Cricetulus griseus: one gene and its partners. The protein of the gene in region 3 interacts with the protein of the main gene of each other region in a biochemical or structural test. Links are inferred from orthologs where the notes say so. Each region holds a gene or a part of one and is shown on either strand. Other genes may lie near its edges. The genes, in order: Nr0b2, Fbxo21 and Eid1.

Evidence for each region.
Region 1: the proteins of Eid1 (region 3) and Nr0b2 form a complex in vitro, tested with the Homo sapiens proteins (3 studies listed by BioGRID). The link is inferred for Cricetulus griseus from reciprocal best matches to the Homo sapiens genes EID1 and NR0B2.
Region 2: of the proteins of Eid1 (region 3) and Fbxo21, one has a biochemical effect on the other in vitro, tested with the Homo sapiens proteins (2 studies listed by BioGRID, with this or other methods). The link is inferred for Cricetulus griseus from reciprocal best matches to the Homo sapiens genes EID1 and FBXO21.

What each region holds. Positions count from the first base shown.
Region 1 is NC_048595.1:19,710,373-19,714,710, reverse strand, and holds Nr0b2 (nuclear receptor subfamily 0 group B member 2), read left to right. Parts: upstream 1-1,450; coding exon 1,451-1,991; intron 1,992-3,711; coding exon 3,712-3,953; 3' UTR 3,954-4,215; downstream 4,216-4,338. UniProt on the Homo sapiens protein: Transcriptional regulator that acts as a negative regulator of receptor-dependent signaling pathways. Specifically inhibits transactivation of the nuclear receptor with which it interacts.
Region 2 is NC_048597.1:97,899,581-97,903,226, reverse strand, and holds part of Fbxo21 (F-box only protein 21), read right to left. Parts: intron 3,406-3,646; coding exon 3,194-3,405; intron 1,746-3,193; coding exon 1,588-1,745; intron 1-1,587. UniProt on the Homo sapiens protein: Substrate-recognition component of the SCF (SKP1-CUL1-F-box protein)-type E3 ubiquitin ligase complex.
Region 3 is NC_048599.1:52,887,956-52,891,693, forward strand, and holds Eid1 (EP300-interacting inhibitor of differentiation 1), read right to left. Parts: upstream 2,408-3,738; 5' UTR 2,189-2,407; coding exon 1,715-2,188; 3' UTR 582-1,714; downstream 1-581. UniProt on the Homo sapiens protein: Interacts with RB1 and EP300 and acts as a repressor of MYOD1 transactivation. Inhibits EP300 and CBP histone acetyltransferase activity.

The DNA of each region.
Region 1 (4,338 bases), on a different chromosome or scaffold from region 3:
TTGCCATACAGATTGTTTATTCTTTTCCTAAGGAGGCCTGGGCTGAGGTAGACAGCACTACAGTGAAAGCAGTGTGGCTGCCTGTCTAAAGGATAGAGTGGGGGCAGCTTCTTGGCCTACACAGAACCTTGCTCTGTCAAGTCCCAATACCACAGGAGCCCTGATTGTCTCCACCAAGGCTCACAGAACCCTGGAGAGCAGCTGACTGGGAATCATGGAGCCAAGACCAGATGCCAGGGCTCCTCATCCGGAGCACCAGGTTGCCCAAGAGTGTGGCGACAACAAACCTGCTAGGCAAGGCTAGCCAAAGGTCAGGAACCTGACACAGCCAAGGACCTCCCATTTCCCTCATACCTCGCCTCTAACCACTGAAGACAAATATCCAGGGCAGAGAAGCGGCGTGTTAGCAGAGATGTTTCCAGTCGCACCATAGGTGGGCCACACCTGCAGACCAGGCAGGGGCTGGGGGCTGGGAGTGGGGGTAGCTGCTAGCCACCTGTGCTGGGAAATTCACACTTCAGCTGCACAGTTGATTGGGGGGGGGGGAGGGGCAAACAAGGATGACTTCGAGGTCAGACATATCTGTGCTCTGTCCCTTCTGGTTGGAGTGACTTTGAGCAGGTCACTTCTCTGGGAAGTTCTCAACATTACAAGGGAAAGTGATCCATATAGAGTGGGTCCTCAGTAACTGGCAGCCTTGTAAGTAACAATTTTGCAAGGGCCAGCAGGCCCAGCCCCTCTGGAGCTATTGGAGCACAGAATGGGAGCAGGGGGCTCTGGAATGGCCTTCCTCCAACGGGGCCTCTGCACTGGAGTCACAGGAGGGGGTACCTCCTAGACTGTACAATGAGCAAAGTCCCCCAGGGACCTGGCTCCCTTCCCTGCAGCCTGTTCCTTACCGACAACAGGAGCAGAGCCCCAAGGTTAGGCAAACACAGCAGCGATAAGGCACTTCCAGGCTGGGTCAGGCATTCAAGGCCTTAGCTGGCTTTCTCTGGCTGGCTCCTTGGCTCAGTGAGAACCCTGGTCTTGTGTGCATGAAAGTGGGCTCCAATCGAAACAGCAGCAGTCACAGCCACTGGCTGGTTGAGCACCTGAGACCTTGGTGCCCTGGTACAGCCTGGGTTAATGACCTTGTTTATACACTGAGTCATCCGATAAAGGGCATCCAGGCAGTGGGCAGGTGGCCCTGTGCCCTGCAATGGCCACTTCATTGACTAAAGCGATAGCAACGCCACGTGGAGCTCCAGTGCCCCTCCCCCTCCGGTCCTGCCAGGGTCAGTGTATGTGTGCATTGTGTGTGTATGTTGGCTTTTTTTTTTTTTTCAATGAACATGACTTCTGGAGTCAAGGTTCCACGGCCATTCCCCCTCCCGCCATCGAGGATATAAATAGCACTCACAGTACAGAGGACCGATAGCTGGGAAGAAACAGGAGCGAGATACCAACCATGAACTCCAGCCAGTCTGGGGGCTGCCCCTGCCAGGGCTCTGCAGGCCGCCCTGCTATTCTGTACGCGCTTCTAAGCCCCAGCCTCAGGGCCAGGCCCATTGCACCCGCATCTCGCAGCCACTGCCTCTGCCAGCAGCACCGGCCTGTCCGTCTGAGTGCTCCACAGCGCACCTGCCGGGAGGCCTTGGATGTCCTAGCCAAGACAGTAGCGTTCCTCAGGAACCTGCCGTCCTTCTGCCACCTGCCCCATGAGGATCAGCGACGGCTGCTGGGGGTCTGCTGGGGCCCTCTCTTCCTGCTTGGGCTGGCCCAAGATACTGTGACCTTTGAGATAGCTGAGGCTCCAGTGCCCAGTATACTTAAAAAAATCCTTCTGGAGGAACCCAGCAGTGGTACGCAGGGTACCCAGCTACCCGACCGGCCACAGCCCTCACTGGCTGCCGTGCAGTGGCTCCAGCGTTGTCTGGAGTCTTTCTGGAGCCTTGAGCTGGGTCCCAAGGAGTATGCCTACTTGAAAGGAACCATCCTCTTCAACCCAGGTGAGCTCCCAGACACTCCTGGATGGGGGCCACGCTGGGAGGGGACAGGACCCGTCCAGGAAAAGAATCGTTGTCTCTTTGCGTCCTTGTTAGCTCCAAACAGGTATCTCCCAGGAGAGACAGGGAGGTTAAGCAACTACCTGAAGGCCACACAGTAAGGCAGAGGCAGAACAGGCCTGGGAATGCAAGTCAAGCTAATGCAGAGATTGGTCTTTGCCGCTGTGCTGGAAGGGTAGAGTGGGTAAGGCAGACACCGCCGTGTGCAGTGTCTGCCTTCTTCAAGGGCAGGCTGCACAGTGAAGTTCTGAAGGTTAAAGTCCTCCGTGGGTTCAGAGCGGCCACACAGAAAGAATGGAAGGGTGGGGAGTGGTCACTTCTTGGGTGGAGAGCAGATGGGGTGGGGTGAGGGGCGATGAGGAGAAATGAGGCGGTTTTACCACGGAACCCTGGCTGGCCTAGAACTCACTACGTAAAGCAAGTTGACCTCAAACTAACACCATGCCTGGCATGGGAAAATATTCTTTGTAACTTTGAGGAAGACAAGAGACAGGCCTTGGAAGTTAAAGTGTAACGCCAAACGGCAGTAACAGTACCAAAGAATCACATGCATTTCCCATATGTCAGGACTTAGCCTAAGGGTTTTACAAATAGTGATTTGGTTAAACCTCACAGCAGTAGTGGGCAACAAGTATTGTCATTGTTCCCACTAGATAGATGAAGAAACTAAGGCACAGAGATTTAAACTACTCATCTAAGGTCACTCAGAAAGATGAAACTACTTGTCCAAGATCACTGAGCTCACAGTGGCAGTGCTGGGATTCAAATTCAGCCAGCCTCGAACTCACAGAGATCCGCCTGCCTCTGCCTCCCGAGTGCTGGGATTAAAGGCCTGCCACGAACAACCGGCCTCTGGTTCTTTTTTGGTTTTGGCTTTTTGTTTTGTTTTTTGAAACAGAGTTTCTCTATGTAACAGCTCTGACTGTCCTGGAAGTAGCTCTGTAGACCAGGCTGGTCTTGAATTCACAGAGATCTAACCGCCTCTGCCTCCCAAGTACAGGGATTAAAAGTGTGTCACCACCTCGAAAATCTGTCTCAAAAAACAAAATAAGAAAAGAATTATTTAGATATTATTTTATGTGTGTAAGTTTCTACCTGTATGTATGTGTATCATCTGGTGGGAGCTCACAGAAGCCGGAAGAGGGTGTCAGGAATTGGAATTATAGGCAGTTGTGAGCCACAATGTAGGTGGGAACCGGACTCAGGTCCTCAGTCATAGCAGGAAGTGCCCTTAACCACAGAGCCATCTCTCTAACTCGTATGTCTCAGCCCTTATCTCCACATAAATGGAATAAAATGTAGGAGATGGTGATTGAAACCTCCAAGGTGGCAGAGTGGGCCAATGCGTGGAACTCATTAGTAAAGTATTACCTCCCGAGCTACAGGTCCTGGGTTTGTTGCCTAACACCACCAAACAATTAGGTCTCTTCTGTATCTGTAAGGGCTGGGAATGTAGTTCAGTGGTACAACTATCGCCTGGCATGTTAAAGGAACCAGCAATGTTCAGCCCAAATGTAGAATGCCTGCCAAGCATGCCCTAGTATGCACGAGGCCCTGCATTGCACCCCGGCATATGAGGGGGGGAGCCACTAACATTCTCACACCCTGGGCTAGCCTCCACGGAGCAGCTGCTCACCAGCCCTCTTCACCCTCTCTGCCACAGATGTGCCAGGCCTCCATGCCTCTTGCCACATCTCCCACCTGCAGCAGGAGGCTCACTGGGCCTTGTGTGAAGTCCTGGAGCCCTGGTACCCTGCTAGCCAAGGCCGCCTGGCCCGAATCCTCCTCATGGCCTCTACTCTCAAGAACATTTCATGCAGCCTTCTGGTGGATCTCTTCTTCCGCCCTATCATCGGAGATGTTGACATCGCTGAACTGCTGGAAGACATGCTTTGGCTGAGGTGACCTGCAGAGTGGAATCCAGGGCTTCCAAAGGGGAGCTTCAACTCCCCAGGAGCAGCCCTCACCTCAGCCATGCCCCCAGCTTGGACTTCCTTGGTTTGGACACAGTATACTAACTGCCTAATAGGTCCTTGGTGGCCCCCCAAAGTCTTTGGGCCAGGGACAGAGATGGGAGCATGAATGAGGCTGTACTTCAGGCCAGAATTCCTCCTGACTTTGTATAGAACTCAATTAAGTTATTGATTTTTGTAATAAAAGGTATGACCTGCTGACACCACGGTTGCCTATGGAAGGGGCAAGCCGTTCTTCAGGGTGCATGCTCCTCTTGCCAGATGGAACTCCTGGAATGTAAGCAGAAACCAGCTCCTTAGTGTTCTAGAGAGGGACA
Region 2 (3,646 bases), on a different chromosome or scaffold from region 3:
TTTCAAACACTAGCAAAAAGGCCTTCCTATTCACTGATGAAACAGACCTAGGTGAGAACCCACTGTTGGCGAATGGACAGCATGTGGAGTGTATCTGCAGGAGCAGGCAGGGTGGAGCAGCAGTTCAGGAGAAGAATGTGTAGGAGCTACCCCAAGATCACAGAGCAGAGAGCCCAGGCTGGAAGTCCAGCACACAAATAAAAGGGTTCACGAGGTCACTAGAAACAGGATCTGGCCCAGGGAGGTATGTGAATACCTATGTGTGGCTGTGAAGGAGTTCCTTGCCACCCTTGCACCCCACAGCCATCACACAGCAGCCCTCAGGAGAAGCCATAGTCCTGTGGCCAACAGAAGGGCCTCTCAAGGGAAACCAGCCAAAGCTAACATAATCACAGCCACTCCTATGCCACCCAGTCATTGGACTGCAGACTTTTGTTTCTTCTTACACTGTGACTGCAAACTACTATCCCATGTGTGTGCACACACACAGTGAGGTGCACTGAGGCATCAGCAGGAACCATTCAGAACAACTAAAGCTGAGTGCTCACTTTACAGATTGCATCAAGCAAACACAGTATACGAACTATTTCTATAAACCTCAATATCTGATTTGAAGATGTTTACACCCACTCTGAGTAGGGTGGACAACTGCTACACCCAGGACGCCACAGCCAGGAGTCATGACTGATGACAGAAAGCCTTCCTCACCTGTCATAGAGCAAAGCCCCAGGCCGTTTTTAAATCACGGTGACTTTCAGAAATGGAGAGCTTTGATTTTCACTGGAGTTAGCTTCAAAAGCCGAAGACTGGCCTGTGGGAGCCTCCAGAACACTCTGGGAACATGTGGCCCCTTTACCTTACCCCAGGAACCCATGGAGGAGGTGAGGCACCTACAGACATATTGGATGGATCCTCCTGGCCTCCAATGGGTCACAATCACTCATGTGAGGACTGTTCCTGTTATCTGAAACCGTGACACTCCAGACCTCAGTATTTTTACCCCTGTATGGGCAGAACAGGTCTGTTGGTTCAGGCCATAGCCCATCACCAGACTCCTGGCTTCATGTCCTCATGGTCAAGGTAAAGTGGAGGTGGCCTGTACAAGCTCAAGGCTCTGCATGTATGAAACGCCTGGGTCTCAAACAGACTTAGCACCCATGAGGGCACACTGTTCATCGCATCAGTATCCACACCTTCTCTTATTAATAAACCAGTGTGCTCCTTGCTTTCAGGTGTATGAAAGTCAAAAGGGACACAGACAAAGGCTCACACTACAGTCATTGCTCTGACTCTTCAATTCCATCTGTTCCCAGCGCTGGCCAGTCAGGTGGCCATGGCCTACCAAAGGTCACCAAGCACAGAGTTTGTACAGGGGACTGCAGTTTTCACCTGTGGCCACATGAGGGCGACAGGGAAGTCAGGTGTCTGGCTAGTGAGGACAGTAAGCAGTGCTAGAACAAGGACCTCGTGTTGGTGTGCCTGTGTGTGACTAGCTATGGACAGTTGCTACCCTGTATACACTGGTGAGCTCTCCCTATAGCATGGTCAGCCAGGGATGGGTGGAGATACAGCAAACAAACACCTTACCTTGGGCTGCATATCTACAGGAGCCATCCTCCACCAGCACGTTGTAGAAGGGCTGATGGTGGCCATGAGGCAGACTGTGAACATTCATGTTGCGGATCCACTCATGGCCCATCATGCAGGTGGGGTCCCAGCCATAGATCACACAGTTGTATCCATACCTGTGGAGCACGGGAAGATGGCAAGTGAGCTCCTGGGGAGCCTCAGAGCTGCGGAGGAGTCAGGAGAGGCAGGCTGGGGTTCTTCCATGCCCTTTGTTCATTACCTACTGCTCTTACCCCATGTGGAGTCACTTTTAAGAAATCCTGTCCCTCTTTACAAATCCTACTCTCACCATCAACAAAGCATTGTATCTGGAAAATAATCTTTTTTTTTTTTTTTTTTTTTTTTTTTTTTTTCTAGACAGGTTCTTACTGCATAGCCCTGGCTGTCCTGGAATTATGTAAACCAGGCTGGCCTCCAACCTCTTGCCTCTGCCTCCCCAGTGCTGGGATTAAAGGCGTGCGCCTTCACCACCCAGCTTTAAGAAAAACATTGGAACAGAGCAAGAGACTACCTTTGGTAAGAAGAGGATAATAAGAGTGAGAAGGGGAGGGGCTGGAGAGATGGCTCAGAGGTTAAGAGCACCAATTGCTCTTCCAGAGGGCCTGAGTTCAATTCCCAGCAACCACATGGTGGCTCACAACCATCCGTTATGAGATCTGGTGCCCTCTTCTGGTGTGCAGATATAAATGGAAGCAGAATGTTGTATGCATAATAAATAAATAAAATCTTAAAAAAAAAAAAAGAGTGAGCAGGGGAGCCCCCCCCCTTCCCTCCAACTGAATGGGTAGGGTGAATGTGTGCAACATTAACTTCATTAGTCCAGAACTGAGGAGGGAAGTGGTGGTTGTGGTGTTCACTGCTACAGCCAGTACACTAGGAGCACAAGCTGCCTCACGTGCCCTTCTCTCCACTCTTACATGTTTGGAAATTTCTTTAAGGAGTTGAGAAGAAAGCATTCACTAAATGAATGTCTCAGAGACAATGGAGGGGTAGGAAGTAGCCACATGCCAACAAGGAAGACCGTGTGGCCAGATGGAACTGCCTTTGCCAGTGAGGGAAAAACACTACCAAGTGTCACCTGCTCCTGTCACATGAGCACACCAAGGTCATGCTGTGGGGACAGTAATCACAGTTTGTAGGTTGCTTGTGGGACATGAACCTGCACCAGCACTCTGGAGTTAAATTCTGCCTGGTGAACAGACATGGGCAGAATTATACCTCAGGAAAGCCCTGCTAACCCAGATCAGAGATGGCAGGGGACAGAGAAGGGACAGCAGAAGGAGGAGCTGGGGCCATAGCTCAGTGAGCTTCTAGTTTGGTCAATCCCTAGGCTCAACCCCCAGAGCCCCATACAAACTCTAGGAGCAGTCAGAGTTCATGAAAGACATTATACCTCACAGTTAAAAGCTGGATGCAGGCAGGGGCCTGCTGTCTGGCCTGTGGGGGTGCTCAGTGAAATGACCTGAGGTACCAGGGTATGCCTCTGGGATCCTCTTCCCTCTTCAGTGTGGCTGTGGCCCTGGCAGCCTGTGGGCAGCCACAGAGGCCAGGAGCAGGTACTCACCTCTTGTGCTTCATAACGAGTCCAATGGAGTAGCAGACATCTCTGTGCTTCTCCTCAGAGCGCAGCTTCACCTCCACGCCTACCTCCTCCTTCTTGCGCTCAATGTGCTCTAGTGTGTGCTGCACTAGGTAGCCCACTGCCCCGTGCTGCCCAGGGTCAAGGGTCTGGATGTGCTGGAGGATATCAAGCACCTTCAAGACAAGACAGAAAGACTAGGAGATAATATTTTCGCCAGGCCTTTTCTTTTCCGAAGCGTGGGATCGACACCTACCCATGTACCCTGACAAAGACCAATGACGGCATGCCACTTGTGGACCAGGAGTCGTAATGGGTCAAACATTTCTTGGTTAGCGCCAATACCCAAATACCCAACGCTTGATCCAACAAAAATCCACCAGGATCCAGTCCCCATTCACATACCACTTCCAGGAGCGGACTCCTAAAGTGGGGATG
Region 3 (3,738 bases):
GACTGACTAGAACCCCAGGTGAGGATCTAATACCTTGAGAGAGTTATTTCTCTCCCTCCACCACATGGGCTCCTGAGATCAAACTCTGGTCATGAGGCTTGGGTGTATGTCAGAAGTTGCCTTTACCCACCGAGCCATCCCACCTGCCCAGCCTCCCAAACAAGATGAATATAAAACAAATAAACCACCACCACCACCACCCCACCCCCAGCCAAAAAAATCCCGAGGAGTTATCCTACTGTCCTATATTCCCATCATGGCATAGGAACAGTCAGACTTTTTAATTCATCATAAAAGATGTGCTAATGAGTAATTTTTCTTGGCATGGCCTTTGATGCAATTACCACTCAAGGAACTTCAGCATCTTCACCAAATAACACACAGCAACATATATGCAGGGCAGGTTTCCGTAGGCTGGCCAATTCTTTCATTCTATTGGTCAGGTAATTAATTGAAAATGGTTTCATTTTACCATTGTAAGCACTGGCTGTTTAAATCTTAAGATGAATGCAGTGATACCACATAATAAAAGAATCTTGCTTAAATAAAGTATCTATGCAGAGCTATTAGACAAAACAAAATACACAGAACAGGAAAATTTATTATCGCCAATGCTGGTGCATAGGGACTAACAAGCATGATCAGAAGGAGGGACGGGGAGAGAGGAGGAGAGGGAGAGAGAGAGAGAGAGAGAGAGAGAGAGAGAGGAGAGAGAGAGAGAGAGAGAGAGAGAATATGAGTATCAGGTATCCAGGTGGACTTCTGAGCAGATTTAAAACCTCCAAAGTTTGACAGCATAATAGCTCATATAATCTTTTATAGGTACAGGTAGGGTTTCCTTTTACTTGACAATTTTTCACAAACAGTTCTTACAATATGAAGTTCAGCTATAGTCTTACCATCTGTCAAGGTAAAAAACAGTGAGTAAAAGTTCCCTAGTATAAAAGGGTATTTATTAGAAAGTTTGTCTTTGGGCTTTCCCATAAATTTTAATGCATGAACTTAAAACTTTAAAAAGATATCCTGATTGGCTTTTTTTTAATATGTAACTTTAAAAATCATCACAAGGGATTTTTCCAAATTACAGATCACAGTAGCTTTATAAATCATGAAGATACATGTGCAGTCAAATCCCAGCTTTTGTAACACATTTTAAGATAATAGTACACATGGTAACACACATCTACACTTATACACACATATTCACTTTGATTTTTCTTTGGGGGGGTCGATGAATACTCAATCTTAAATCTCAAATTTAGCTTTTGATAACTGATTTATATAAACCACAAAACAGAATTTGGAAAGTTTTCTCAACAGGCTCTCAGTTCGAATCAAAGATATCTTGTGGATGTATTCTTCTTCATTCTCTAATTAGATTCTTGTATTGGCAGTCACGATTTTTCTCTTGCAAAACCATTTTTACAAGCTTAACACGACCAAGTTCTTCTCCAACGCAGGGAAAAATCATCTCGTTCAACAGTCTGAACCAGAGCTTTTTTTTTTTTTTTGCTGAGCCCCTCCTTCCTCGATTCTCCTTTTCCAAGACTGCACGGTCACTCACTGTTTTGTCTTCTATTCCGGGAAACAAAAACCTTTTTTTTTTTTTTTTTTTTTTTTTTGTTTTTTGCACAAAACTAGTTGGAATGAACCCAAAAACAGCAGAATGTTGAATCTCTCCCTCTCAGGTAGTTTCCTCCTCTTTCGTCAGCATTTACTCTCGATCAATGATCTCATCACAACCGAGCTCTTCGGTCAGTCGATTGACAACCATCAGCGAAAACAGCTCTTCGATAAAGGCGAGCTGGTCGAAAGGGCTCTTCTCGCAGCGCGCCTGAAACCCGCCATCCAGGGCATCTCCGGCTCGCGCCGTTCTCAGGAACACCTTGTTGGCTTCCTCCAGCGCGGCAGACACCCTGTGCATCGCGCCGCTCCAGCGCTCCTCTTCTGGGAAGTCGTAGTCGTCCTCCCAGTCATCAAACTCGTCGCCCTCCAGATCTGCGCCAGCCTCGGGGAACAGGCCGCGCTGGGCGCGGGCGGCTAACGGCGCGGCCTCCTCCTCCATGGGGCCCTCCTCCGCGGGCCCGCGGGCCCCGCGGCCTACCTCCATATCGCCCTCGCCGGGCAGCTCGTCCATCAGCTCGTTGCTTTCTTCGTACAGCTCGCAAAGCTCAGCCATCTCCGCCATGGTGGAAGCCTCTTAAGTCAGCCAGGCGAAACGCTTCCACCGACACGGACGCGCGAACGGGTGTGGTGCGCGGGCGCGTGCGCGCGCGGACGAGTGGGTCGGCGTGGCGCGCGTGCGGGAGTGCGTGCCTGCGTGCGTGCGTGCGCAGACGAGTGGGCATGCGTGGTGCACTTGCGGGGGGCACGGGACACGCGCGCAGGCGAGTAGGCGGGCTGGGTGCGCGTGCCAGCCTGGCGCGAGGTGGGCGTGGTGCGCGTGCGTGAGCTCTAGACCGCTCTAGCCCCCCCCCTTCCACCACCACCTCCCCCTCCTCCAGCTGGGCCGGACTCCCAGAAGCTTCTGCTGGGTCTGGACCTTCCATCTGCAGACCCCGCTCTAGGTTCCTTGATGTTTGCTTGCTCTGTCACACTTGTCACGTCCCTGCACCGGAAAACACCGGGCTTCTGGGACAGACTGCCGCCTCTCCCCCACCTCCCTGCCTCCCCAACATCCCTTGGCAGTCATCCACCTCCTGCCTCCCCAGCATCCCATCAGTCATCCACCTCCTGCCTCCTCAGCATCCCATCAGTCATCCACCTCCTGCCTCCCCAGCATCCCTTGTCAGTCATCCACCTCCTGCCTTCCCAGCATCCCTTGTCAGTCATCCACCTCCTGCCTCCCCAGCATCCCTTGGGACCAGGACGTCCACTACTGCTCATCATTTCAAATCCACCTCGCCTGCCGGCTTGCGCGGCACGAAAATTCAGCTTTCCATTTTTTTTTCTTCCTGAATATACTGACGTTGACCTAATCGTGGACAAATTGTGTGTGTGTGTGTGTGTGTGTGTGTGTGTGTGTGTGTGTGTGTACGTACACCATGGAGAAAATGGAAGCCACAGTGTTCTTTTCTAGGCTCATAGGATATGCATATTTTAAATAAACATGGGTAATCAGGCTCACAATTGCTCTACAAACTTAACCTGCAGTGTTTGAGAATATTCACACCCTTGGCTCCTGTTGTTTTATTGAATTAATAAAATTAATTTCAGTTTTATCAGCTTGTTCTCTTTTATGTGTATGGGTGTTTTGCCTCTGTGTAACGCCCATGCACCTTGTGTGTGCATCACCTGCAGAGGCCAGAAGAGGATGTTCATCTCCTGGAAATGAGGTCACAGTTTTGCACTGCCCTGTAAGTGCTAGGACCCAAACTCTCTCCTTAGTGTGAGCAGCTGATGCTGTTTACTGCTGAGCCAGCTCTCCAGCCCTAAGATTGTATCTTTATAACCTTTCCATAACTTTAATTTATTAGAGGACAATGATCTTTCAGTAGGTATAGGGGGCATTTGCTTTCTTTCAACACATTAACAGGCCTTACTTTATGTTTGTTTTGCTGATTTGTAGGAATCCTTTGAAAATGTGTGAAGACACTATTTTTCACTTTACAAATTTATCCTTCAAGCCTGTATGCTTTAAGGAGTCATATATAAAGCTTTTAAAATTAGTTTGTATGTAACCAAATACTTTCTATATTTCTTTTTGTACTATTAAGATGGATTTTCCAACTTCAGCAA